Ovis aries: one gene and its partner. The protein of the gene in region 1 purifies or fractionates together with the protein of each later gene. This does not show direct contact. Links are inferred from orthologs where the notes say so. Each region holds a gene or a part of one and is shown on either strand. Other genes may lie near its edges.

Region 1 (10,286 bases):
TCCAACCAAACCATCAGTTAAAAATAAAGATAGACTATAAAGATATATTTATGCATCACAAATCTCTGAAACAAAGGAATAACTCAAGAAAGGAATCCAGAAAACACAAAGGAAAAATGGGATGAGTCACCAAGATGATGGTGAATGGGGATATCAGGATAATAGCTATACACCAAGAATAGAGAACAATTGATCCAGATTGGAGCAGGTCAAAAAGCTCCGGAATGTATATCCAAGAAAATTAATTTGGTAGATTGCCTGATACGTTTTACTGTAAGGACAATTAGGGCAGAAGTTGTTATATATAATCAGTGATAAATACATAGAAAAATAAGGAAAATAACAGAATTATTAATTCCTTGCTTATTTTTCTAATGTATTAAAATATGCAAGGAAGAAAAAAGTAATCATCATATACTATATGATCATAAATAGCCTTTAGGCATAAACACTGAACATGAACATAACTAAAACTATGATTTAATAATATTGAATATTTAGAGATATAGAAAGTATGTGTGAAAGAGAGCTAAGTCCTTACCTTTCATATAAGAAAATCAATAGATAATACCTGTTACTGAAAAAAATCTCAAAAATGTAGATAGAAATAAACATCAGTAGAAAAACCTGAAAGAATTAAAGTTGATGTCTTTGAGCGGAGAGGACAGGATAACTCGGCAGAGAGCTGTAAATTTTAACAGTTCTTCTAAAACTGATACTTTAAACAATAGAGTTACATCAACAAATTTTTGGAAAGCATCAAATTGTAAAATATATTAGGTTGCAGGTCATGTAGTTTTCTTGCAACTCTTCAGCTCTATAGTTGTAGCACAAAAGAAATTGTAGACAGTATGGAAACAAATGAGCATGATTGTGTTTCAATAAACATTTGTAGACACTGAATTTTGAATTTCCTTTAATTTTCATGTCATAAAATAATTCTTTTCCTTTTGAACTTCATAATCATATAAAATGTAAAAGGGCTTGTCTGGTGACTCAGACAGTAAAGAATCTGCCTGCGGTGCAGGTGACCTTGGTTCAATCCCTGGGTCAGAAAGATCTCCTGGAGAAGGGAATAGGTACCCATTCCAATATTCTTGCCTGGAGAATTCCATGGACAGAGGAGCCTGGCAGGCTACAGTCTATGGGATCGCAAAGAATCGGACACAACTGAGCAACTAACACTTGCACTTCACTTTCAAAATGTAAAAAAATCATTCTTCTCCAGCTACTCAAAAACAGATAGCAGCTGGATTTGATCTGTGGGCCATAATTTTCCAACTTTTGCCTTTAATAATGTGAACGTAGAACAAAGAAGAGTGAAAAAAAATGGACAAAATAATGTCTTGTCTCCTAATCTTGCCTGTTATAAGATTTCTTATCAGGAATTCATTCTGAAGAACAAAAGGAAGCACATTTGTTTACCAAACTTTTTCTAATATAGTGTCTCCTTGATCTTTACTATCTTTTGGCTAAGTAGAATTGGGGGTCCCTGTTTTCTGTAGACATAGAACCTGTCTTATGGAGATTGAGTGACTTGCCCAAAATCGAACAGGTTTATAAGGGACTAGAACTTAGACTAGAACCCAGAGCTGGTTCCCTGTTTTTTTCTCTTTTTTGCTTTCTGTAAAAATAATACATGAATATTTCCTTATAAAATATTAAAACACCACAAAAGATTATAATGATAAAGTTATTGTCTTCTGTCACATCTGTCATCTCTCCCTCTATACACACTATAAGTTAACAACTGTTACAGTGTTGTCCTACTATATATTGTTGTAGAAAGAAAATAGTTCTATCAGTCAGGGAAGAAAAATCACAAGTTTTGTTTTTGGTTTTTTTTTCCCCAGACTCTTAAATTCTTAGCAAAATGTCGTAAGAAAAAGAAACAATTTGCTCCTTGGCCTGGACTCAGAGAACTCACTGATGCACGCAGAATTGAACTGAAACAACAAGTGGATGACTATATCAGAAGACATCCAGTGTGTAGGCTTTTGTGTTACATTATTGCAGTGTGTGATACTCACCAACAAATAAGTGTCTCAGTTGTATGTGTACATTTATTGTTGGCATAAGGTAATGCAATGGCTTTATTGTAGCCTTACCATGGCATTACCTTGACTTTACTATGGCTTTGGAGTCTTAATTGTGTGGACCGTAAAGTCAATAGTAAAGGACACTTCACTTCAACTTAGTGGTTTTCCATACTGCATCAGCGAGACTGTTGGTACATCCTTATCAACATTTATTATTTTCACATCCTAATGAACATGAAGTGGTATTGTGATTTGGGTTTATTTACATTCTGTAATAATTAGTGATTTTTAACATCTCTTTTGTGCTTATTGCTTATTTATATATCCTTCTTTGGAGAAATTTCAATTGAAGTCCTTTACCCATTTTTAATCAGGTTTTTTTTTTTTTTAGTGTTGAGTTTTAGGAATTCTCTGTATATTCTGGATATTAATTCCTTATCAGATGTATGATTTGCAAATATTTTCTTCCATTCTGTGGGCTGCCTTTTACTCTATTGATAGTGTCCTTTGATGCACAAAACTTTTTCATTTTGATGAAGTATAATTTGTCTAATTTTTGCGGTTGTCTGTACCTTCACAGTGTCATATTAAAGAAATCATTGCCAAATCTAATATCATAAAGCTTTCCCTCTATCTTTTCTTCTAAGAGTTTTGTAATTTTAGCCCTTATTGTTTAGGGCTTTGATCTCTATTTTTTATTAATGCACTGTGCATGATTCTGATGCATTCTTATATTTAAAAAAGAAGTACTGCTTTAGCCATGCCCTAGTACAACTGTTACTCTGTGGCTGACAAGTAAGATGTTAGTTAGAACAAGGCAGCATCCATGATCCAGGAACTGGAATACCTGAGAAAACTGTAGTGTTAGAAACTTTTATCAGTTTCAGTGTTGAAGTTATGTCATCCTTGTTCTAAATATTAATAATTAGGTCAGTTCCCTTTAAAGTAGCTAACTAGCCAGAAGAATATGATCCTTTGAATGATTCTGTCCCATGTTCTTTGAAATTAGAAGCTATATAATATTATGGCTTAGATAAGTTTGAGAGAAGGAATAGGATAAGAAGTAAGGCAGTTTCTCAGGTGGGGTTCAGAACAAAGGGATTGGTCCTGTTACTCCTCCAGGCCAGTGTCTTTACCAAACCATTTGTAATTTTCACTGTGATTCCTCAATCTTACCTCTTCTCCCAGAATATTACACTATGTGAGGAAGTGAGGTATAGGAGTATATCAAAAAGAATTTTGCCCACTTGCATTTTCAATGAAATCTGCTTTTAAGAAGTTATTTAATGTTTGTTCAAGAGTACAAGATCGGGCTTCCCTGATGGCTCAGTGGTAAAGAATCTGCCTGCCAATGCAGGAGACATGGGTTCAGTCTCTAGTCCAGGAAGATCCCACATGCTTTGGGGCAACTAAGCCCATCCACCATAACTACTGAGTCTGTGCTCTAGAGCCCAGGAGCCAGAACTACTGAACCCACATGCAGCAACTAGTGAAAGTGAAACATACTTTGATATATGTGTCCTTCGTGTGACAATTTTCTTCTGTCGTTTGTTCCCAGGGCTCTCAGATATCAGATGTGACCAGCAGGGAGCTCCATTCCCAAGCACAAGAACGACTGCAACACTACTTCTTGGGCAGGGCTCTAGAAGAGAGATCTCAACAGCACAGGGAGGCACTGATGGCTCAGATCAACACCAACATTGAACAGTTGATGAGTATGTGCTCATTCCATTTTTGTTTCCTAAAAGGAACACCCTATGCAAGATTTTGGTGACAGCCATAATCTTCAGAAGGAAAATAGCATTTAGTGGTCTATTAGCTCATTTCCTATCCTCAGAAATTTCTACTTCTGGATCATATCAGCACACAATGTTTTCAACTGATGCAAATCCCATAACCTTCCTGACTGCTTCCCTCAGCCTTTCTATCATTCATATGTACCAACTCAGACAAAGTTATTAATTTCAAAGATGCTGAGCCCTACTAGCCAGATTCTGTTATATAATAAGAAAAGCTTCTTAAGCCTACTTTAAAAGTAGATAATGACAGTATTTTATGGTGCCATTTTATATTTTTAATGAATCATTTTCACAAAAATTAATTCACCTACTTCTCACAACTGCTGATACATTAAATGAGAGATCTCGTCCATGAAGCCAGTGTTTCAGACAGGTTCTGAAACACTTATTACTTGTGGAGCAGAAGGGGTCAGGATCCTCTGTTTAGTGCCATTTACTTGTAAATTTTGTATTTTTGAATGGATAGGTGACTAGAACTGAGCCTCTCATCTGTAAGAATTCTGCTATTTGTTTTTAAGTTCCTACTCTTTTAAATAAACCATCTAAAAAATATCTACCTCTTTATTCTTTCCCTTTAAACACAGAAGGATGGGCTACATCTTGTGAATAGTCACATGCCAACTACAGCTGGCAACAATAGACTCAGAGTTAGAACCTAGTTTCTGCTGCTATTGCAGAGTTCCAGCTTTGCAGTTTCTAAGTTTCTGTTTGTCTGGTACAGAACTCTTCCACTCACCTGTTTATTTTTTGTTACTACAGAATCACCAAGTCTGAAGGAGGCAGAAGGAAAAGATCCTGAGCTCTTCCTAAGTAGATCCAGGCCTGTGGCAGCCAAAGCCAAGCAGGCCCATCTTACCACCCTGAAACATATACAAGCACCCTGGTGGAAGAAGCTTGGGGAAGAAGCAGGAGATGATATTGATGTCCCAAAGGATGAACTTAATATAGAATTAGGAACTTTATTCATTGGTGGAACCAAACCACCTTAAAGGAGTTACCTGGAGGAATGACATATCTATATTTAAATAGATTATATTGGTTCTACCTCTGACATGCTAGTAGACTAGTGTTATCCTTAACTCATGGCTTTCTAGAGGTTCTTCTCTAAACAAGACTTGATGGATATAGGCAAAGAGTTATTTTCTACCTCAATTTCAATTCTTTTCTTTTTCCACACCTCCATCCTTGGCCACACATACAAATTGGTACGGCTTTTATTATGAAACTAAATTCATCATTGTATTCTGTTATTAATATATATTTGAAATGTGATATTTCTTTTTTTGTTTCTGCTGTTTTCCAACTAAAGGTGTTTTCTCAATAAATATTTTCAACAATTGTTCTGAAAAACTTGTCAGGTTTACTTCAACTTTTCACATTTATTGATTTTTCTGTTAAATAGGCCTCCCAGATAGCGCAGTGGTAAAGAATCTGCCTGCAATATAGGAAACACAGGAGGCACAAGTTCAATCCCTGGGTCAGGAAGATCCCCTGGAGGAGGAAATGGCAACCCACTCCAGTTTTCTTGCCTGGAAAATCCCATGAACAGAGGAGCCTGGAGGGCTGTAGTCCATGGGATCTCAAAGAAGCAGACATGACTTAGCAAACGTGCATGCACTCACAGGAAGTGTGCTCTTGGAATTTATTAAGGTGAGAGAAAGAAATGGTCAATAGAAAAACAACTATTTTCTACCAGTGTTTGAATTCAGCTTCTTTCTTATTTCTAAAAGTAACTACATTTAAAAAGTCCACTTGGGATTCAGTGCCAGAATTCTAATAAAACTGCATTCTTTCTATTAAACTAAGAGAATATAACCTACTATTTCCGTTTTGGTCTTGTCTCCTAGGGGTCTTAGAACTAAAATAATGTTAAATTTCTGCTATGATTCTCAATATCTACACGATTATCAGGTTCTAGCCTAACAATTTTGAATTTCGCTATTATCTGTGTTTTAATACCAAAAGCCACCTCTATTTGTGTTTTGATAATACAAAATTTATGTTAAAATCAATTAAATAATTGGCTCCATAACATAAGGAACCTGGAGTGTGCTTTTTCTATAAATGAGTAGAAATACCAGTATTTCTGGATGGAAAGACAAAATACTATAATGTAAATCCCTCTGAAGTTTAGTAAAATTCTAGTCAAAAATCTAGTGTAATTTTTATTCATAATTTAGAAAATGAATAAAATTCATTTGTGAAAATAAGCAGATGAGAGTTCTGGTTTCACTTAGAATATAAAAAGTTCCATGAGAACGTTTCTTCCATCTTAACAACAAAAAATTGCAAAGTAATCTATGAAAATCGTTTTTCTTGAGCCTATCAGATAGTTGAGGCCTCAAGATAACCAAATAAATCGAGGGGACTCAGTATCTGTGAAATAAACCATTTTATCTTTGAGAGCACAAGAGACAAAAGTGGCTGGAAAAAAATCAACTAAAATTTTAACAGATTCTTAAGGGTGAAGTGTGAGTTGCCTGTCAGAATATCTAGGAACTTTAGAAGTTAGAGCTCTACCAAATATGAGAAAGTTTGGGAGCAGGGCAGGAGACCTGAAAAGATACCTCTGTGGCATAGGCAAACAGGAGATGACAGGCTGCTACTGGGTGACATGCCCAAAGCCTCACCTGCTTTCCGAGACCCTTTTCTTAAAGGTCTTAGGCTGCTGGAGCAGGGGCAGCAAGCCCTCTTAACATCTAAGGCTCAGACGAAATTCCATTGCATTTAAGAAAGGAACAGAAAACCTAGCTGTCGGTGCTGAAGACAGGGGTGATAGGAAATAGTCTACCATGATACAGGTAGAGTCCAGTGTTACTAGGGAAGTATGGAAATAAAAACCCTTGTCTCCTGGGAGGGAGGCAGAAAATGACATTGGGCCCAGAAATCCTACATCTACTCAAAGCAGATGTCTGGTAAGCTAATGAAAAGGAGCAAACTCCTGCTAAAAATGAACCACAGTTATGAAGCAGTTTGACTACCATGGCATAAGAAAGCCCTATCTCCAACCCCAGGGAGAAGAAACTTGGCCTAAAATTTAGGCTGGATCAGGACAAAAGACCACCCAAGTCTCAACAACTAGCCTAGCACCAAGTAATAAGCAGCAGTAGTTAACCACTGGGGTAGGGAAGCATGGAGAGACACCCTTTCCCCGCACTCCCCCACCCCACCCCCTGGCAAAGGCAAACAGGGATGCTTGAAGATGGAGGTAAAGCAGGAACATAGAAAAAACTTCAGCTTTTCAGACCCCACTATAAGCATAAGGTAATAGCTAAAAAATACAGGCACTTGAAGCCTATAGTACATTAGAAATGAAAAGCCAGACCCGGCTAAACTCCTGAATGGCTTAACTCAGCCTCCCTGCAACACTGCAATATAATTAATCTTTTAATTTCCGACTTAATGCTGTCTCACTTTCTGACTTAAAATGCTGCTATGTTTACTATAACAAAACTAGTTCAGTATTACTCAGATAAATGAAAAATAAGATTTTTAAAAGTGATATTAATTATTTGATCATCAACGTTTATCACAATTTAACTTTATTGACTCCTTATTGTAAAATTCAGACTTATATTGAAAACCACTAGGGCATTCAGGTATGACCTAAATCAAATCCCTTACAATTACACAGTGGACGTAACAAATAAATTCAAGGGATTAGATCTGATAGAATGCCTGAAGAACTATGGACAGAGGTTTGTAACATTGTACAGGAAGTGGTGGCCAAAACCATCCCCAAGAAAAAGAAATGCAAGAAGGCAAAATGCTTTTCTGAGGAGGGCTTATAAATAGCTGAGAAGAGAAGTGAAAGGCAAAGGAAAAAGGGAAAGATATACCCAACTGAATAAAGAGTTCCAAAGAATAGCAAGGAGAGATAAGAAAGCCTTAAGTGAACAGTGCAAAGAAATAGAGGAAAACAACAGAATGGGAAAGACTAGAGATCTCTTAAAGAAAATTAAGAGCTACCAAGGGAACACTTCATGCAAAGATGGGCACAATAAAGGACAGAAATGCTAAGCAGAAGAGTGAGAAGAGGTGGCAAGAATACACAGAACTATACAAAAATGGTCTTTTTTTTTTAAAAAAAAAAAAGGTCTTAAAGACCCAGACAACCATGGTGGTGTGGTCACTTGCCTAGAGTTAGACATCCTGGAATGTGAAGTCAAGTGGGCCTTAGTAAGCATTGCTACAAACAAAACTAGTGGAGGTGATGGAATTCCAGCTGAGCTATTTCAAATCCTAAAAGATGATGTTATAAAGTGTTGCACTCAGTATGCCAGCCAATTTGGAAAACTCAGCAATGGCCACAGGGCTAGAAAAGGTCTGTTTTCATTCCAATCGCAAAGGGCAGTGCCGAAGAGTGTTCAGACTACCATACAGTTGTGCTAATTTCACAAATTAGCAAGGTAATGCTCAAAATCCTTCAACCTAGTCTTCAACAGTATGTGAACCAAGAACTTCCAGATGTACCAGCTGGATTTAGAAAAGGCAGAGGAACCAGAGATCAAATTGCCAACATCTGTTCAGTTCAGTTGAGTTGATTTCAGTTGTTCAGTCATGTCCAATTCCTTGTGACCCCACGGACTGCAGCATGCCAGGCTTGCCTGTCCATCACCAAATCCCAGAGCTTACTCAAACACATGTCCATCAAGTCGGTGATGCCATCCAACCATCTCACCCTCTGTCATCCCCTTCTCCTCCTGCCTTCAATCTTTCCCAGCATCAGGGTCTTTTCCATTGAGTCAGTTCTTTGCATCAGGTGGCCAAAGTATTGGAGTCTCAGCTTCAGCATCAGTTCTTCCAATGACTATTCAGGATTGATTTCCTTTAGGATGGACTGGTTGTATCATAGAAAAAGCAAGAGAGTTCCAGAAAAAAAAATCTTCCTTGACCTACTCTAAAGCCTTTGACTGTGTGTGTGGATTACAACAAACTGTGGAAAATTCTTAAAGAGATAGGAATATCAGACCACCTTAACTGCCTCCTAAAAATTTGTATGCAGGTTCAGAAGCAACAATTTAAACCAGACATGGAACAATAGACTGGGTTCAAAATTGGGAAAGAAGTACGTCAAGGCTATATAATGTCACCCTACTTATTTAACTTCTATGCAGAATACATCATGAGAAATGCCGGGCTAGATGAATCAGAAGCTAGAATCAAGATCGAGGGGAGAAATATCAATAGCCTCAGATATGCAGATGATACCACCCAAATGGCAGAAAGCAAAGAGGAACTAAAGAGATTCTTGATGAAGGTAAAAGAAGAGAGTGAAAAAGCCAGCTTAAAACTCAACATTCAAAACCCTAAGATCATGGCATCTAGTCCCATCACTTCATGGCAAATAGATGGGGGAAAAATGGAAACAGTGAGTGGCAGATTTTCTTTTCTTGAGCTCCAAAATCACTGTGGATGGTGACTGCAGCTGTGAAATTAAAACATGTATGCTCCTTGGAAGAAAAGTTATGAGAAACATAAACAGTGTACTAAAAAGCAGAGACATTACTTTGCTGACAAAGGTCTGTATAGACAAAGCTATGGTTTTTCCAATAGTCATATATGGAAGTGAGAATTGGACAATAAAAAAAAGCTGAGCACCAAAGAATTGATGCCTTTGAACTGTGTTGCTGGAGAAGACTTGAGAGTCCCTTGGAGAGCAAGATCAAACCAGTCAATCCTTAAGGAAATCAACCCTGAATAGTCACTGGAATGACTGATGCTGAAGCTCTAATACTTTGGCCACCTGATGCAAAGAGCCTACTCATTAGAAAAGACCCTGATGCTGGGAAAGACTGAGGGCAGGAGAAGAAGGGGTGACAGAGGATGAGATGGTTGAGTGGCATCATTGACTCGATGGACATGAGTTTGAACAAACTTCAGGAGGTGGTGAAGGACAGGGAAGCCTGGTGTGCTGCAGTCTACGGGGTCACAAAGAGTTGGACACGACTGAGCAACTGAATAGCAACAACTTTATTGGATGTCTTGCTCACATCATAGCTCATTTTCTATACAGAATAGAGTACTAGAGTGGGTATAATACAAATAGAGACCCAATACATAACATTTATTTTTATAAACCTATAGAGTGAGTGTCTAGAAATAGAAATTTCTGCTAGTTAATAGAAATTCCATAGAAAAGCTATTCTGCATCCTGTTTTTCATTTTAGGAATATTCATATCTGTTTAAGTCATTTTCAAATTATGACAAAATAGAATCTAAAGGCATGTTTGCTATTATAGTGATTAAATTTTGAAGATTTTATTCACCTTATAAGTGAAAGTTTGTTTGCATTGACCAGCATCTCACTATTTCACCTTCTGGGCCTTGGTAACCAGTCTACTTTCTGAGTTTGACTTTTTTTTTTTTTAGGTTCCACATACAAGTAAAATCATACAGTTTTTCTCTCTCTGGCTTATTTAACTTAGCACAGTATCCTCCAGGTTC
Region 2 (11,029 bases), on another chromosome or scaffold:
TAGCACTGGCAGCTCTTCCTCAACTCACTCCTTTGTCCTCCTGGGGCTCCCTACAACTACCCATCTCAGAATAAACAGCGTAAGTGTGGTTCACAGACGTGTTGGTGTGTAGGAAAAACTGAACGGTGGCTGTGCAAAGCCCCACTCAGGGATGGCTTTAAAGAACAAAGGTGAAGAGACATCTTGCCAGTTGGAAGAGCTTGGGGCAGTATTCTTCATTGCACGTTTTTAGAGAGAAGTGGCCTAATGTACAAACATCCAGAGACTCCTAGGTTTGTCTTTCTTGCCTGAGGTAACTCTGCCAACATCACCAGAATTATAGCATTCCTGACTGTTACCCTGACCGAGGAATATATTTTACAGCTGAAACAAAACGTGACAATACACACATGATCATAGACTCCACTGATATGGTCGTATCCCCCATCACTCAGAAGCAGCCAGCTTCTGATGTGGTACATGCTTCCAATCAACCAATAAAGACATAGCTAAAGACATAGCTCTGGAAAGCCCCGAATGGGAGCAGGATTGGCCCATTTTATCATCACTTCCAGTGACTCACAGAATTTGTGTTTCCTGCCTCTCAAATCCAGGCATTGCTGGATTATAATAATTAGCTCTCCAGGGGTTGGGTGGGGGCTTCCCTGGTGACTCAGTGGTAAAGAATTCTCCTGCCAATGCAGGAGACGTGCGTTTGATCCCTGGGTCGGTAAGATACCCTGGAGAAGGAAATGGCAACTCATTCTAGTATTCTTGCCAGAGGAATCCCACGAACAGAGGAGCCTGGTGGGCTACAGTTTGCAAAAGAGTCACAAAACAGTTGCACACGACTTAGCAATTGAACACCAACATAAGCACGAGGGGTTGGGTGGAGGAGGCTTCACTGAACTTGAAACTCCCTCACTATCATTTGGTTGCTTTGAGTTTCTCACGATAGTAGTCCAGCCAGCAAAGGGAGGAGTGACTGCACTGGTGGGAGTAATCAACTGCGATTAGCAAGTTCAGTTCAGTCAGTCGCTCAGTCGTGTCCGACTCTTTGTAACCCCATGAATCGCAGCACACCAGGCCTCCCTGTCCATCACCAACTCCTGGAGTTCACTCAGACTCACATCTATCGAGTCAGTGATGTCATCCAGCCATCTCATCCTCTGTCATCCCCTTGTCCTCCTGCCCCCAATCCCTCCCAGAATCAGAGTCTTTTCCAATGAGTCAACTCTTCACATGAGGTGGCCAAAGTACTGGAGCTTCAGCTTTGGCATCATTCCTTCCAAAGAAATCCCAGGGCTGATCTCCTTCAGAATGGACTGGTTGGATCTCCTTGCAGTCCAAGGGACTCTTGAGAGTCTTCTCCAACACCACAGTTCAAAAGCATCAACTCTTCAGCCCTCAGCTTTCTTCACAGTCCAACTCTCACATCCATACGTGACCACTGGAAAAACCACAGCCTTGACTAGACAGACCTTTGTTGGCAAAGTAATGTCTCTGCTTTTAAATATGCTATCTAGGTTGGTCATAACTTTTCTTCCAAGGAGTAAGTGTCTTTTAATTTCATGGCTGCAGTCACCATCTGTAGTGATTTTGGAGCCCCCCAAAATAAAGTCTGACACTGTTTCCACTGTTTCTTCATCTATTTCCCACGAAGTGATGGGACCAGATGCCATGATCTTCGTTTTGTGAATGTTGAGCTTTAAGCCAACTTTTTCACTCTCCTCTTTCACTTTCATCAAGAGGCTTTTTAGTTCCTCTTCACTTTCTGCCATACGGGTGGTGTTATCTGCATATCTGAGGTTATTGATATTTCTCCCGGCAATCTTGATTCCAACTTGTGCTTCTTCCAGCCCAGCATTTCTCATGATGTACTCTGCATATAAGTTAAATAAGCAGGGTGACAACATACAGCCTTGACGTACTCCTTTTCCTATTTAGAACCAGTCTGTTGTTCCATGTCCAGTTCTAACTGTTGCTTCCTGACCTGCATACAAATTTCTCAAGAGGCAGGTCATTAGCAAAGGATAATTAGCAAAGGATCTGGGATTGTTGCTATACAATAGCAATGGCGGGGGGCGGGGGGTGGGTAAATCTAGAATCCAAAGAATTCAACAGAGGCTTATCTTGGGAAAAGTTGAACAGGCAGTCACACAATCATGGCCCAACGAGAGGGAGGGAAACAAAAGCTGAAGGTTCCAGTTGCCTCACTGAGCCAACAACCTAGATCAGGTGATGTGCTGGCCAAGGGTGAAGGGAGGTAAGGGTGGGGAGTACAGCCGGGAGCTCATAAGAACAAGCACAGTCTTGGCATCAGTGTAGCAGCAAGGACTGAAGCTGTCCAGTCCTTGAGTTATTGCATCAACTCTCTTATATTAAGTCTTTGCAGAGATTGCAGGTGTCCATCACCTTGAAGGGGACTGTAAAGGACTAGACTTAAATGGCCAAGCAGGTATGAGTGGTACAAAGACTGGACTGATGGACACCATCTGTATATCTTCTGTCACCATTTCAAATCCTTCAGCCACTTATTCCAACCACTGCTGCGGCAACCTGTTCTAAACAGTCCGATGAACTGTAAGCAAGTACGATATGGCAGTGCCGTTCCTCTTCCCTCCTGCCTCAGGACTTCTCTGATGCGGGAGTCAGCTTGGCATTCACGACTGTGCATTTGGGAAGTGTGGAGTAGTTAATGGCTTGGGGCCTTAACGTTTGATCAAAGGTAGACCGGAGCTGACAGATAAATGCTTCTCCCACTCTTGGTTTCAGTGGACAGTTTTGACACTCACCTCATGACTTTTCCAGAAGGTACTAAGGGATCAAGAAAACAGACATGGTGGCAACCAACCGAACAACACATCCTTATACTGCCTCTCTCTCTTCCTTCTTTTACTTCCCCTCCCTCATCTCTCACTCTTGCTGCCTGGGATCAAAACCCCAGATATAATACTGTGCCTCCACTTTGAGAGGAATCCAGGAGAGGAAGTGAGAAATGGCAATTCACTTCTCAACTCTGAAGAGGGCTGTAAACATACAAGATAAAATAATAATAATAATATGACAAAATAGCACATGCAATTGTCATATAGAGTGACTACAGTAAGTGTTCTGGGACTGAACAGGAAGGACCCAAGAGGCCTTTTTAAAGATCAGATCAGATCCTGCTCTTAAAAGGGAAGTCATTCAATGAAACTGAAAAGCATTTCAAGTAGTATTGACCAGAGTATATTGATCTCAGTAGCAAACAGGTCCCTACTATTTCTGCAGATTTTTCTACCAAATTATATCTTCAGATACACACTGAAAGATACTTTGCATATCTCATTTTGTCCCTTTCTCAGTGAACCCATCTTGAAAGAGTGAGTTACACACTCTTTTGCATTTCCATGGTGTTTCATCTCTTTTTTCTACTTTTATTGTTTGGTTCACCACACTAGACTGTAATTTATCCATCTATTTAATTCTGTCTCTACAATGACAGTGGGAGAGACAGACCCCCTTCTCAGTGGGATCCCCATCTTTGTATCTCAAGTCCCTGGCACTTAAGTGGCTCTGTTTCTTAAATAAACAAATGCTTGCACCAAAGGGTTCCTGCAGAACCCTTGCAAAGGATGGAATTGAGCTGAAGTAAAGAAATCACTCCTTTGAAATACCAACACATTTATCTGGCCTGTAACTCTTTTTGGTCATTTATTTTGTCTTATTTTATATGTATTTATATGTATATCTTATTTGGCCCTACAATACTATGAACTTCTTCAGGGTAAGAGTCATATCAAATCACCTCCACACCTCCATCAAAGTATCTGGCATAAAATAGGTGCTAGGAATATGGACTAAATAAATCACTTGCCTTGCAACCAACAACATTGCCATTATCTATGCTTCCTAAACTTACACCTGCATAGGTGTCATCCTGTTAAGACACAGATTACCATTCAGTAGATCTGAAGTAAGCCTGAGAGCTGCATTTTCTAAAGAACTTTCAGATGATCCTCAAGAAGCTGCTCTACAGAACAATTTTTAAATGTCAATGTCACTACATCAGTGGACCTCTACAGCATATGAAACTCCTCCTGGAAGATATTAAATGTGCTGGTGGGGACTTCCCTGGTGGTCCAGTGGTTAAGACTCCATGCTTCCACTCCTGGGGGTACAGGTTCCTTCCCTGATTGGAGAAAGAAGATCCTGCATACTGTGGGGCCTAAAATAAATTAAGAAAGAAAGAAGAAGAAAAAAGTGCTGTTATCTTGGCCCCAGCAAGATACCTCCTGCCCCCTCCCCCATTCTGATTTAACTCATTTAAACTCTCCATGCTATAACCTGCAAGTATCTAGATTTAGATTTAAAGCAAGAGAGTTTGAGAAAAACATCTACTTCTGCTTTATTTACTACACCAAAGCCTTTGACTGTGTGGATCACAAAAAACTGTGGAAAATTCTTCGAGAGATGGGAATACCACACCATGTTACCTGACACCTGAGAAATCTGTATGCACGTCAAGAAGCAACAGTTAGAACTGGACACAGAACAACAGACTGGTTCCAAATTGGGAAAGGAGTATGTCAAGGCTATATCTTGTCACCCAGCTTATTTAACTTATATGCAGAGTATATCATGTGAAATGCCAGGCTGGATGAAGCACAAGCTGGAATCAAGAGTGCCGGGAGAAATATCAATAGCCTCAGATACGCAGATGACACCACCCTTATGGCAGAAAGCAAAGAGGAACTAAAGAGCCTCTTGATGAAAGTGAAAGAGGAGAATGAAAAAGCTGGCTTAAAGCTCAACATTCAGAAAACGAAGATCATGGCATTCGGTCCCATCATTTCATGGCAAATAGATGGGGAGACAGTGGAAACAGTGGCTGACTTTATTTTGGGGGGCTCCAAAATCACTGCAGATGGTGACTGCAGCCATGAAATTAAAAGATGCTTACTCCTTGGAAGAAAAGTTATGACCAACCTAGACAGCATATTTAAAAGCAGAGATATAACTTTGCCAACAAAGGTCTGTCTAGTCAAGGCTATGGTTTTTCCAGTGGTCATGTATGGACGTGAGAGTTGGGCTATAAATAAAACTGAGCACCCAAGAATTGATGCTTTTGAACTGTGGTGTTGGAGAAGACTCTTGAGAGTCCCTTGGACTGCAAGGAGATCGCACCAGTCAATCCTAAAGGAAATCAGTGCTGAATGTTCAGTGGAAAGACTGATGTTGAAGCTGAAACTCCAATACTTTGGCACCTGCTACGAAGAACTGACTCACTGGAAAAGACCCTGAGACTGGGAAAGATTGAAGGCAGGAGGAGAAGGGGATGAGAGAGGATGAGATGGTTGGATGGCATCACCGACTCGAAGGACATGCGTTTGAGCAAGCTCATGGGAGTTGGTGATGGACAGGGAAGCCTGGCAAGCTGCAGTCCATGGGGTCTCAAAGTCCACAGGGACACGACTGAGCGACTGAACTGAACTGAACTGGTCTGATCTAGATTTAACTGAACTTTAGGCGTGCAAAAAAGAAAACATTTGATTAGATCTCTTCTTCAGTGAACTGTTGAAAATAGCTGAATAAATAAGTCTTCTAGAGAAAGGAATACGCACACCAAATCCCCCAGGTTCGGAGTCAGTCTCCAGCGACAAGGCCCGCTCCTGCCTGTCCTAGACACGCCCCTCCGGAGAGACCTGACCCCACCCCCTTACCAAGGCCAAAGCCGCGACTGCTTCCTTCTCAACCCAACCGACTTCCGGCAGGGAGGTGTGTCACGTGCCCGGATATAGGAAGTGGTGGCCGGACGGCTGCTTCCAGTTCACTGCTTAGTTGAGGGGTTCATCTTAGTAACGGTGGCCGCCCCAGTCCTGTCCGGTCTCCGTCTTGGAGGACCCGCCTCGGCACAGCCGGGCTCGGTCCGGCCTTGCGGTAAGCCTTCGGCCGCGGCTGCCGGGCGGTCCTGGCGGCGGCGGACAAATGAACGGAGGGGTGGACGCCAAGGTCTGAGGCGGCTCCTCAGTCCCGGTGCTGGTCTAGCGCCGGGGGCTGGGTACTGCTCACTCCGCCGTCAAAGCCCCCTTCTCTTTCCCAGCCCTTCTGGGTAAGGCGGAGAGGCCGGTGGGAGGATCCCGTTACCCCCTTGTTATCCTGGGGGGCTGGGAGGGCAGCCCAGACGTCCTTTTCCGGTTCCGCCCATGAAAATCAGATTTCATCGTAAAAAATGGTCTTGAACAGTTTGTTCTTTGGCTTGGACCAGGAGGGGAGGGTCTGGCAGTACCTTCCCTTTCTTTGTCCAAATCCTCATTTTCTTCTTCCCTGGTAGCTCAGATGGTAAAGTGTGTGCCTGCAATACGGGAGACCCGGTTCAATCCCTGGGTCGGGAAGATCCCGGGTTCAATCCCTGCGCCAGGAAGATCTCCTGGAGAAGGAAATGGCAACTCCAGTATTCTTGCCTGGAAAATCCCATGGATGGAGGAACCTGATAGGCTACAGTCCATGGGGTCGCAAAGAGTCGGACACGACTGAGCGACTTCACTTTCTTTCTTTCTTTCATTTTCTTCTAAATCTCATAAGTGCATTTCCCTGTTGCCATGCTGTGGCGTGTTATCTTCAGTGCTCCATGCACTAAGGTGTCTGGATAGCAGACAGGGTACTTACCCACACGCACTCACTCTCACGACAGTACTGCTTACAAGTTATCTGCCACATCCTGTAGTGATCCGGCTGGATTTAAGGAAACAAGGACCGACATAGAGTATTGTGGCTGACTGTCTCTGGAACGTGGTCAGACATGGGTTCTTATACCTGGAAAATAGTTTTAAAGAACTTCTAATGATTTATTCACTGACTTACCAAAAAAGTATTATAAACACTGGAGAGTTACTCACGCCATCTTTATAAAGTAGATGCCGTTGGAGGCAAGAATCTTCCTGTCTTCGTGGATGAAGAAGTGAAGTGAAGTCGCTCAGTCGTGTCCGACTCTTTGCAACCCCATGGACTGTAGCCTACCAGGCTCCTCTGTCCGTGGGATTTTCCAGGCAATAGTACTGGAGTGGATTGCCATTTCCTTCTCTAGGGGTTCTTCCCAATCCAGGGATTGAACCCGGGTCTCCCGCATTGTAGACAGACGCTCTACCATCGGAACCACCAGGGAAGTCTTCCTGGATATGTCTGTCATATTCACCATGGTACCTAGAATTTTGCCTCGCACTTAGTAGGCATCAGTGTTTGCTGAATGTGTAGTGCTTTTCATTCTGCCTAACTCCTTTATCAACTGTGCTGAGTTCCTCTCTTGTTTTTACCACTTAACCATATTGTCAGTCCTTGCTTTTGACCAGAGAGGGATTGGGTGATAGATGCTGACCACTAATAGTCATTTATTCATTTAACCAGTTTTTATAATTCAGCTTAGATTTCCTCAAGAGGTATTTGTTTAGCACTTACAAAGAACATGAAACTGCTAAAACACCTCCTCCCCCAGCCATCCCCCCGTCCCTTGAAGAGAGTTCTTGAGATCCAGGAACTTGTGACTTTATGAACCAGTTGGACAGCAAGTGTTGTATGTTTAACAAATGCAATAAGTGATATAGCAGTTGAGAGGAGAGATCAATTTGGGTTAAGGTCTGTATTGAATCAGTTCAGTTTATTTGCTCAGTCATGTCTGACTCTGTGACCCCCATGGACTGCAGCGTGCCAGGATTCCATGTCCATCACCAACTCCCAGAGCTTGCTCAAACTTATCTCCATCAAGTCAGTGATGCCGTCCAACCATCTCATCCTCTGTCATCTGCTTCTTCCTTCAACCTTTCCCAGCATCAGGGTCTTTTTCAAGGAGTCAGTTTGTTGCATCAGATGGCCAAAGTATTGGAGTTTTAGCTTTAGCATCAGCCCTTTCACTGAACATTCAGGACTGATTTCCTTTAGGATTGACTGTGTTGAATCAAGTTCATGTAAATTATGGAATGTTGTTAGGATTTGGGTAGATGATACCCTCTGCATGGAAAATATCCTAAGCAAAGATTTAAAGGCTAGAATGATCAGAGGGCTTGGAGTGAAAGGTTTGTCTTTGGGAGCATTAGGAAAGTGTTGAGCAAGGGCATATTATGATGAAAGGTATGTTTTAATATTATTTGTTGAGAGTTTTGGGGTTATGGAAGCTTGCAAAGAGGTAACCAGATGCTATGGTGTTAAATAGATGTAGTTGGTGTGAACCTCGATTGTACTTTGGCAGTAGGACCAGAAAGGATAAATTATGTGTAGATGAAGGAAAATTAGGAAAATGCTTTTAGCTGTCAGGTTATTTGGTACCTTCATTTTGTTGAATTTATTTACTGTCTGCTATGTCTTTGCCAAGTTCTGGGAATATAAGGATGAATAAGACACAGGCCTTGCCTGCTAGGAAATACTCTTAATGGGGAAAAGAATACAACTAGCTGGACAATATGGTTTGTAAGTGCTGTGTTAACAGAGTAGAGGGGAAATGTTAGAGAAGTAGGAAAGGATTTTTTTTTTTTTTTTGGCGTGTGTGACTATTTCACAAAAGAGGTCTTATTTTAGCAGGATGAATTGGAATTTTCCAGGGAGAAAAGAATTTGAGAAAAAAGAAATTGCATGAACAAGAGCCTGGAATTAGAAAAGCAAACTGGCCAGTATCCAGGGTGGCTTCAGCAAAGGATAGAGTTGAGCTTTTAACATATGTGTAGGATCTAGAACATATGAAGAGATAGTAACATAGACAGTTTATAATGGGTGGAATGGAGGTTAAAATGGAATGTAGCAAGATGAAGAAGTGTTGAGCAAGGGCATATTATGATGCAAGATATGTTTTAATATTATTTGTTGGGAGTTTTGGGGTTATGGAAGCTTGCAAAGAGGTAACCAGATGCTATGGTGTTTAATAGATGGTGAAGGGTAGATGGTGAAGTCATTTGCAGAGAGGGAGTAGACTGACAGAATTAGGGGTTGAAGGAGAGAAGTAAGGATTTGCAACACCGATGGAGTAGGAAGAGGGATCATCAAAGGAAGTGTTAAGGAATTGCTGAGCAACATTGAAAGTTTAGCATCGATTGGATTTAAAAGTTGTAATGAGTACAATGGACAGGGATATGAGACCTTCTTAAGTGCCATATGGTAGCCCAGGAGAAGGAGAGAAAAAAAGACAGTTGATGGAAATTGATGAGCAGGGTGAACTGGTCTACAAATGGAGCAAGATCATTGAAAGGAATGGTGTGGGTGTATGGAAATAAACACTGCCTCCAGGCTACACTGGGAAAGAAATTAAGCTTGGAGAGGCCAGATGTTCTAAGAGAACAGGATGGAAGGGGAGATCAGAAGACTGGAGGCTGAGATGAGGGGGAATAGGGATGGAAGTGGGAAGATGTGGTTTTTCTGAGAAAAGCAATTTTTTTTAGTTGGAGCAGCGATAGAAATGTTACAAATTGAGTAAAATAGAGGAGTTTTCAAAAGAGTCATTGTATTATAAAAATACATTCAAAGTCATTTATTTAAAACTCATAATTTCTTCATTTTCCCATAGAAACAGTGTTAGGAGTAGAAGTTAATTTTGTAACCAGCTCACATGTATTAAATACTATACACCTTCATTGGAAATAGTAATACATACACACACACACACACACACACACACACACACACACACACACACACAAACAAATATGTATTCAGTATATTTAACAAATAAACTTGAAAAGAGATGTTTAAAAAATATTTAAGTTGATATTTGAAAAGAGGACATTGAATTAGATGAGAAAAGGAAGACGAGTAGAAAACTATTCTCTAACAACAGCTTTTTTGAGATATAATTAATATACCATAAAATTCACCCTTTTCGAGTATATAAGTCAGTGGTTTTCAGTATATTCACAGGGTTATACACCCATCAATACTGTCTAATTGAAGGACATATTCATCAGCCCCAAAAGAAGCCCCATACACATTAGCAGTCATGCCTGCTTGCCCCCTACCCCTAGCAACCGGAAATCAGTTTGTCTGTGTGGATTTGCCTACTCTGGACATTTCATATACATGGAATCATGAAATATGTGGCCCTTTGCAGCTGACTTCTTTCACTTAACATAATGTCTTTAGGATTCATCTGTGTGTCAGTAGTATGTATCAGTACTTTGCTCCTTTTTATGGCCAAATAATATGCCACTGTATGGATATGTTTCATTTTGTTGTTCCCCAGGACGTTTGAGATGTTTCCACTTTTGGCTATTGTGAATAATGCTGCAGTGGACATTTATGGGCATGTTTTTGTGTGGACATAATTTTCAGCTCTCTTAAGTATATACCTAGGAGTGGAATTGCTGGGTCATGTGGTAAATTCACATTTAACCATTTGAGGAACCACCAAATTATTTTCCAGAGCAGCTGCAGTATCTTACAATCATCAGGAGTATATGAGAGTTCCCTTACCAACACTTGTCTTTCTAATTTTAGCCATCCTAGCAGGTGTAAAGTGGTAGGTATCTCATTGTTTTAATTTATGATTCCCTAATGGCTAATGATGTTGAGCATCTTTCCATGTCATTTTTAACCATTCATATGTCTTCCTTGGAGAGATGTCTCCCAAACGCTTTGCTCAATTTTTAATTGGGTTGTTTTTTTGTTGTTGAATTGTAAAAGTTATTTATATAGGAAATTTATATTTAAATATTGGGAATGGGCCTTTTAATTTTTCTTAAATCTTTTAAAAAAATATTTAGTATTTGGTGAGCACATCAAAAGATCTTAGAGTTTGATAATACTGGTTCTCTAATTTCTTTTCCAAACACACAGCTTTTTATCTTTATGATGTAGGTGTACAAATGTGTGAAATTATTTCCCCATGCTTATTAACCATAAATAAGGTCTTTTCCTAATCCTAAATGGAACAATATAAGAAGAAGGATTTTGACAAATGTAATAATCTATACTCTGAATTTTTCAGCTGAGTAAAGATGACAGCAATCAAGCATGCATTACAAAGAGACATTTTTACTCCAAATGACGAACGCCTGCTGAGTATTGTCAATGTCTGCAAGGCAGGAAAAAA

Evidence for each region.
Region 2: the proteins of IQCB1 (region 1) and EXOC1 purify together in Homo sapiens (affinity purification with mass spectrometry; 3 studies listed by BioGRID and IntAct, counting the BioPlex papers as one, with this or other methods). This does not show direct contact. The link is inferred for Ovis aries from reciprocal best matches to the Homo sapiens genes IQCB1 and EXOC1.

The regions. Positions count from the first base shown.
Region 1 is NC_056054.1:187,093,166-187,103,451, reverse strand, and holds the end of IQCB1 (IQ calmodulin-binding motif-containing protein 1), read left to right. Parts: intron 1-1,853; coding exon 1,854-1,985; coding exon of another isoform or gene 1,986-1,989; intron 1,990-3,597; coding exon 3,598-3,754; intron 3,755-4,597; coding exon 4,598-4,827; 3' UTR 4,828-5,188; downstream 5,189-10,286. UniProt on the Homo sapiens protein: Involved in ciliogenesis. The function in an early step in cilia formation depends on its association with CEP290/NPHP6.
Region 2 is NC_056059.1:71,993,974-72,005,002, forward strand, and holds the start of EXOC1 (exocyst complex component 1), read left to right. Parts: upstream 1-5,746; 5' UTR 5,747-5,901; exon of another isoform or gene 5,902-6,089; intron 6,090-10,924; 5' UTR 10,925-10,934; coding exon 10,935-11,029.